2 linked regions of the Macaca fascicularis genome follow. The protein of the gene in region 1 purifies or fractionates together with the protein of each later gene. This does not show direct contact. Links are inferred from orthologs where the notes say so. Each region holds a gene or a part of one and is shown on either strand. Other genes may lie near its edges.

Region 1 (3,562 bases):
CTGTAGAAAAGTCTATGAGGCAAATGACACAGTTTCTTTGACAAATAAATGACAGAAAAAACAAAGGGGGAACCTGTGTATTAAAACAGTGGTGGCCAGGCGCGGTGGCTCACGCCTGTAATCCCAGCACTTTGGGAGGCCGAGGCGGGCGGATCACAAGGTCAGGAGATCGAGACCACGGTGAAACCCCGTCTCTACTAAAAATACAAAAAAAAATTAGCCGGGCGCGGTTGTGGGCGCCTGTAGTCCCAGCTACTCGGGAGGCTGAGGCAGGAGAATGGCGTGAACCTGGGAGGCGGAGCTTGCAGTGAGCCGAGATCACGCCACTGCACTCCAGCCTGGGCGACAGAGCGAGACTCCGTCTCAAAAAAAAAAAAAATAAAAAAAAATAAAATAAAATAAAACAGTGGTCCTCAGAGTGCTGGCATGAATCAAAAGTCACTGGGAGGGCTTGTCAAAACACAGATTGCTGGCTTCATCCCATAGTTTCTCATTCATTAGCCCTGGGTCAGGGCCCATGAATTTGCATTTCTAAAACGTTGCTAGGTGCTCTTCCTCCTGATGATCCAGAAACCGCAGAACCATGTTATTAAAGAAGTCTTGGATTATGAATCAAATACAATGTATGGATCTTGTTTGGATTCTGTTTTGAACAAGCCAATTGTAAAAATAATAATAATTCCCTTGATAATAGGGAAGTGTAGGCATGGGATGGACTTTTGATAATTTTAAGGAATTGGTAAATTTTGATAGTGTAATCATGGTATTGTAATTATATTTTTCTTTTTTAAAGAAGGCCCCATCTTTTTAGAAATATATGTTGAAATTATGGGTAAAATGCTATATTGTTCACTTGAACATAATTGGCGCTGAAAAGTAGTTGAGGATAGAGGTAAAAAAAGATTGGCCAGATTTTGACAATTGGGAAGAACGCGAGTGATGAGTATACAAGGATTCATTATCTGTATTAATTTTTCTACTTTTCTGTGTTTATGGAAATTACCTTCAAAATGTAAAATATATGTTTGGAAACACAAAAATATATTCCTAAATAGCTCATAACTTAAATGTAAGTCACCATAGAAATTACACGTTTTTGGAATAGAACAGTCATGAATTATACTATTTCAAAACATGTGGGATGCAGGTAAAGCAGGACTTAAGGGTAAATTAATTGACTTAAGTCTTCCAAAAAAAGATTGAAATGAATTAAGTTCAACTTAAAAGTTAGAAAATGAAATACAGAAAAGCTGGAGGGAAAAAAATAAGAGCAGAAAAAAGGGAACTAAGTGAATAATGCAGTCATCTTAACTAGCTGAGAAGATTGGATTGAACCAAGGCATTATTCTGAGAGAGACTGGTCTGTAATTTTCCTCTCTGTAATATCCTTGGTTCTGTCTCAGTACTATGCTAGCCTGATAGAAGAATTGGGCAGTCCTGAGCCAGGTATGGTGCTTGCCTGCAGTCTCAGCTACTTGAGAGACAGACAGTAGGATTGTTTGAAGCCAGGTGTTTGAGACCAGCCCGGGCAACATAGTAAGACAGAAAAGGAAAAAAAAAAAAAAGTGTGGTAATCTAAAGAGAAATTAATAGTAGGACTTCTCTATTGTCTTAAATAGTTTCTGGCTCAGTATTTTTTCAGCACGCACTTCGTACCAGATGCTGTGCTAGGTATTGAGGACACATAGATGACTAGGATATGGCCCATACTCTGGCACTCAGTCTGAGGGAGCATATAAATTTGTAAACAAAAAATTAGAATCAGGCAGGAAACGTCAGTAGACAATATGGAAACGTTCCCAGGCAATTCCTTGAGAGAAGAAAATTTTTAATGTATAGGATGGACTCAGCTTTGTGAGGTTTTTCCTCAAGTAGTCTCCAAGAAGAAATGGCATTTACCAAGCAGGCAGTCTGTTATAATGGGACACATTAAAAATCACGAGGAGTTTGCTGTGTGACTGGGAGACCATTAAGTTATAAGAGCTGTCAGTGTATGTTATTTAGGATTTTTGTAGCAAGGTTTATATGAGAGATTGGCCTGTAATTTTCCTTTCTTTTAATATCCTTGTATGGTATCAAGGTTATGCTGGCCTTATAAGTGTTGGAAAATATTCCATCCTTGTTATGCTCTGGAAGAGATTGTGTAAGATTGGTGTTATTTCTTCCTTGAATGACTACAAAGCCATTGGGACCTGGGGTTTTCTTTAGTCAATGTGTACTAAACATTTAGTAGAAAGAGTGACCCAAAATTTCAACTTAAGTCGAATATGTATCTGAAAAGGTTTATTATTTTTACTAACATTTTCACATAAAACTTCCCTCTGCCCACTGGGGTTAATCCACAGTTTGATCAGTGTTGTATCAGTGACAGAAATTCACCAGTATGAAAACCCAGTCCATTTCTGACCACCAAATAGTGTATTACAGCTTCAAAAAAAAAATTTTTTTTTTTGCTATCTAGGCTTTGTGCTGTGTGTGCCATGGTGTCAAATGAGACAAATCTGTGTCATCCAAATACTTGTGAACTCAACTTGATATGAGCAAGCATCATATCATTTTAATCTACTTGCTTTATTGGGATGTGTATGTGGATATATTAAGGGCTGATTATTTTCATGGGCTTTGCTGCTTGGAATGCTTTGTCTTAGTTTTTGTGGATGAATTTTTAATTACATTTTTATATTTCATAAGAAGTAATGAATTTACATCATTCACACTTCAGAAGTTATAAATAAGGTTCTCCAGCTTTGTCCTTTAGTCAGCTAGTTTCTCATCTCTGGAACCAAAAGATGTTAGTTGCTTCTTAGCTATTCATCAATTTTTATATTCTCTGAATATGCAATATATATTCACTCCCACTCCCTCCCCTCTTTTTTTAACACTTTACCTTGCTTTTAATTTAGTAAGTCCTTAGAAACTATTCCTTATCATCATTGCCTGTTAAAACTACCTCTTGTTTCTTTTCTCTTATGACTTCCTTGTATCTTGTGACAACAGTAATAATAAATTAATGTAGTCATTGTAATATTGATGGATTTTTAGGTTATTTCCAGTCTTCTTGCCCAGAAAAGCTACATTGAATATCCCAAATTGCTTTTGAATAATTAAATTATCATTTTCTCTTCCTTCGCTAGTTTTTTAGGACAGATTTTTTTTTTCTTTTCATTTCAGCCATGAACCAGAGAATCAGTCAGAGTGCTCCAGTGAAACAACCACCACCCCTGGCTCCCCAGAGCCCACAGGGAGGCGTCATGGGTGGCAGCAGCTCCAACCAGCAGCAACAGATGCGACTGCAGCAGCTCCAGATGGAGAAGGAGAGACTGCGGCTGAAACAACAAGAACTGCTTCGGCAGGTGAGGCCACAGGTTAGAAACCAGCCTTCCACTTTTTGGGGTTTGTTTTCTTAAAGTTGGGCAGATTGCATTTTAACATTTATTAGTTACAGAGGAATGTTGTCTTTGTAAAACTGAGCGACACAGAAGCATTCTATCCAGCCCTGTCCTTGTCTTAGTTTCGTGACTGTGAATGGCCTTTGATCAGGTTTCAAGGGATGTGACTTGGA
Region 2 (4,015 bases), on another chromosome or scaffold:
AACACCAATTCCAAATACTTCAAGCTTTCACTCCACCCAAACGCTGGAACGATAAAGTTTAAAGGGTTAAAGTTAGATGTATGACACAGCACATTAGTTTAAAAATTGAGAAAAAGAATGTTGACATTTTTTATATTTAATATATAATTCTTCAAGAATTTGAAGGCATTTGCTGAAACCAAAATGGCAGCCCAGCGAATTAGAAGACCAGCGAGATCTAAAGGAGAGTTTGTAGTCTCTATTTTTAAGTTCAAGTGTACTAACCAGCCAAGCTAGTCATGGTGAAGGAGTTACCTAAGGGTAATTAGCTCCGAGAGGGTTAAGTACCTGCTGGAAAGTTTCCTAATCAATGCACCCCAAATTATTCCCCTCAAAAGTGAAAGTATACATACGTTAGGTAGATTCAGGGACTCATGGGTTTCCAGGTAAAAGAGCGGCACACACACTTCTCTCGCCGAAAAATAAAGTATGAATAATCTATACCTACAACTTGCTTAAACTAAAAGACAATCTGAAACAATTATATACACCTGTAAACTGCACCGTGTAAATTCAATTAACGTTATAACTATGGAACTTCCAAAAAATAACATGCTTAATTTAAGCAGGTTCTACTAGAAATTTTGCAAATTCTCGTGTAAGTTGTAGTCGCTACAGAAATCCACACAAATAATTGAAGAAGCCATCTATACACCTGCTCTATAACTCTTTAACTTATTTCACAATGAATGAAAAATCAGCCATTTATCCAACCCTAAGCCTCACGTCACAAGAATCTGAAGATCTGATCACTAATAAACTCGCACATGCTAATATTTGCAGAAACAGTTAAAAATAGAAAGATAATAGGTCCAAGCTAGCTTGGAAGCGATTTCTGCACTCAAAAACCCCTTTCACGGCTTTGGCCCTCTGCAAATTAAGCGGGGTTAAGGAAGTGTAGGAGGCCGATAACCCAGCTCCGACTCCAGGAGCCCAGGGCCGGGGAGAAACTGCGGGTTATCGCGGGAGGGTGGGGGGAGGCGGACAAGTCGTCAGGCCTGATAGCCAGGCGTAGCCGAGGCCTAGCTCCCCGACTCCAAATCACTCCACCTCAGTAATGGCGTTTGGTGTCAAGTGGAACCAGACCGGGCAGGAAAGCGGCCGCCGGGCCGGGGGCGGCCAGCCCCCAAACCGACCCGGGCCCCGGGTGCGGACGGCGGGGGGGCTGCCCGCCACGCCCGGAGACTCCATCCTCCTACTCGGCCCCAGACAGGACGGGAAGGGGGAGGAGGGGGAGGGACGGAGCCGTCAGCCATTTTCCCTTACAGTCCAAAACACACAAGACACGCTCTCGGGACACCGGCTCCACACACAACACGGCCCCGCGCGCCCGCCCAGCCCGGGCCGGAGGAGGGGGAACGGGGAAGCCCCGGCCCGGCCGGCAGCCGCCGAGGGAAGAAGCTCACACACACGCACACCCCCCTCGCCCTCCTCCCCTCACCCACATCCAGCTGTTGGCCCCGGGAAGGCGCGTCGCCCCGGTGCAGCTGGCCACTCACCGCACGACACAGACGTCTTCTCAGAACCAGGGCACGTGGAGGCGGGAGGCAGCAGGCGACGCTGGGGCTCGGTCTCGGGACAAGACCTACCCTGGGTGCATCCCAGGCCCGTGGGTGACCGGCAACAAAGTGTATTGAAAGGCTGCGGCGGCCGGGCTCGGGGCTGAGGGCGTCTCAACCAAAAGGCTGCACGCCCGGCGCCGGAACTCGCTTCTCGCCGCGCCCGCCTCCTCCTCCTCCTTGGCCGGCTACGGCCCTCTTCCCCCTTCTCCCCTCAGGCTGGGGCTCTCGCTGAGCTCAGACGGGCTCCGGGCGGTGCGTTTCTCCTGCGTCACCTCCTCCTGCTCCTCCTCCTGCAGCGACGGCTTCACCTTCCCCTAGTCGCCGCCTCTGTCCCCGTTCCGGGCCTGGTGGCTTTGCAGCAGCTCTCTCCTAGCTCCCGGCGCCGACCCAAGCACCGGGCGCTAAGGCGGCCGCCTCCCGCGAGAGAGAGGCGGCGGCGGAGGGCTCCCGCGAGGCCCGGGAGCTATGCAAGGCGGGGAGGGGCTCGGCGCGGCAGAGGCCCTGACGGGGCCGGGTGCGGAGAGGTTGCGGCTCCGGCGGCGGCGGAGACTAGCGTCCGCAGCCGCGGATGCCCGTCCTCGTCAATATGGCGGATCCGGCAAACCAAAAAAAAAAAAAAAACCGCTCGGCCAGTGGCGGCGGCGGTAGCGGCGACGGCGGCGGCAGCAGCGGTGGCGGCGGCGGCGCAGACTCCCACTAGCCCCAGAGCCGCCCAAGACCCGAAGTTCTCCGCCCCCGTCAGACCCCGCCCCTCTCAGGCCCCTCCTTTCGGGCCTCCCCCTGCTCCTGCCCAGCCCCCTCCCGCTCAGCTGCCCCCTCTTCTCCCGCCTCCACCCCGGACCGTCAAGGCTGGGAGAGCAGCGCGAGCCGCCGAGGGGGCCGGGCTTGGGCGCGAGCCGCTGGGAACCCGGAGAGCTAGGGTGGGGGAGGGGAAGACAATGCGGTAAAGATTGTTCGCGCAGTACCGTTTCTTCCGGCTGGCCCCTTCAGGGTCGTGCTACCGCCAGAAATCCTGTTCCATGCCCCTCGGCTCAGGAGCGGGACGAGGGCAGAGGTGGCTCTAGGACCGAAGTTGGGGAAGGGAGGCCCGAAAAGATCTGGCACACCACGCCGGAGGGGCTGGGCGGCAGGGACTGGCGGGGTGTGCGGTCACGACGGGGTTAATCGCGTGAGCCGCAGCCGCGTCGCTCATAGTTTGACTCTGGCCGCTTGTTTTTGTTCCATTGTGAACCGTGGCCCCACCGACAAGAACCCGGATGATGACGTCACCGGCCTCCCCCTTTTCCGGGATCGTGGGGGGAGGGGCGCGGAAAGATGAGATCCCGAGACCACGCGCTGGGCTGTCGCCGCCGCGGTGCCTGGAGGTCCCGGCGGCGCAGCTGACCCGCGTCACGTGACGCACGAGCTGGCCGGGCCACTGGGCTGCGGGGGCGCGAGGTCCCGAGGGCCTGGCCACCTGCTTGGCGCCGATAGGGGGAAGGTGTGGCTATCTCCTGCAGCGGAAGGAGGGGGCGTGGGGAGTGAGGTCCTTTTCCCCACCCCGCGAGGGAGGTGCTCTGGGAAACACTTTCACACGATCGCGCAGCATCAGTACTTGAAAGCGTTTAGGCGTCCTCACAGCGTAACTGACGGGACTGACAACCTTGTTGGCTATAGGAGCCCTTCAAACAGACCAGGAAAGAAAAAAATTATAAAGTACCCCAGACGGCTTAGCGAATAGGCCGTACTTGATATGGCAAGATTAGCCTCCATTGCCAGATCATCAGCACGATTCGGTGTTAGAACCCGGAAGAAACTTATGAACCCATCCGCTGTGTCATGGACTATTTTCTACATGTTTATATTCCAAAGTGCAGGCGTAGGAAAAACTTAGGCTAATCTCAAATTAATGGGGTGCTTGGAACAATTCTATACAGTCTGCCTAGGATGCCCAAATGAAGAGGAAATTAACAGTTCCTAATTTACAGATTTCCTTTTGACTTAAAACTACCTGTGGACATCAAATGGCATGCAAAATCATAGTAAAACCTTACAAAACGAGATTTTATAGAGAACAGGGTTGAATTTAGTTATGCTATGATTATATCAGTTTGTAATAAAAGACTGTTAAAAATGGAACCAAACTAATTTAGGTGACAGTGAAAGCAAGTTATTGGTATCTTAAATTTTTAAACCATTTCTCTATTTAGCACTAGATTGTTTACAAATTTTTCACCACAAAATTACCTAATAGGGTATCCAAGATACATCATTCATAGCCCTAATAACTCTTAGCATATGTTACCTTGTTTTTGTAATTATTTCCATGAATCATTTGCTTACCCACTAGCTCATGGGCTTCTAAAAAGTAGACACGACCACCCGTGTACACTGTAGGCTGTTATCTTCGATTTTAGATAAGGAAACAGAAAGGG

What was found. The genes of interacting proteins can lie anywhere in the genome.
Region 2: the proteins of YAP1 (region 1) and USP9X purify together in Homo sapiens (affinity purification with western blotting; 3 studies listed by BioGRID, with this or other methods). This does not show direct contact. The link is inferred for Macaca fascicularis from reciprocal best matches to the Homo sapiens genes YAP1 and USP9X.

Annotation. Positions count from the first base shown.
Region 1 is NC_088388.1:101,212,117-101,215,678, forward strand, and holds part of YAP1 (transcriptional coactivator YAP1), read left to right. Parts: intron 1-3,171; coding exon 3,172-3,365; intron 3,366-3,562. UniProt on the Homo sapiens protein: Transcriptional regulator with dual roles as a coactivator and corepressor. Critical downstream regulatory target in the Hippo signaling pathway, crucial for organ size control and tumor suppression by restricting proliferation and promoting apoptosis.
Region 2 is NC_088395.1:41,067,319-41,071,333, reverse strand, and holds the start of USP9X (ubiquitin carboxyl-terminal hydrolase 9X), read right to left. Parts: upstream 2,848-4,015; 5' UTR 2,567-2,847; intron 2,300-2,566; exon of another isoform or gene 1,539-2,299; intron 1-1,538.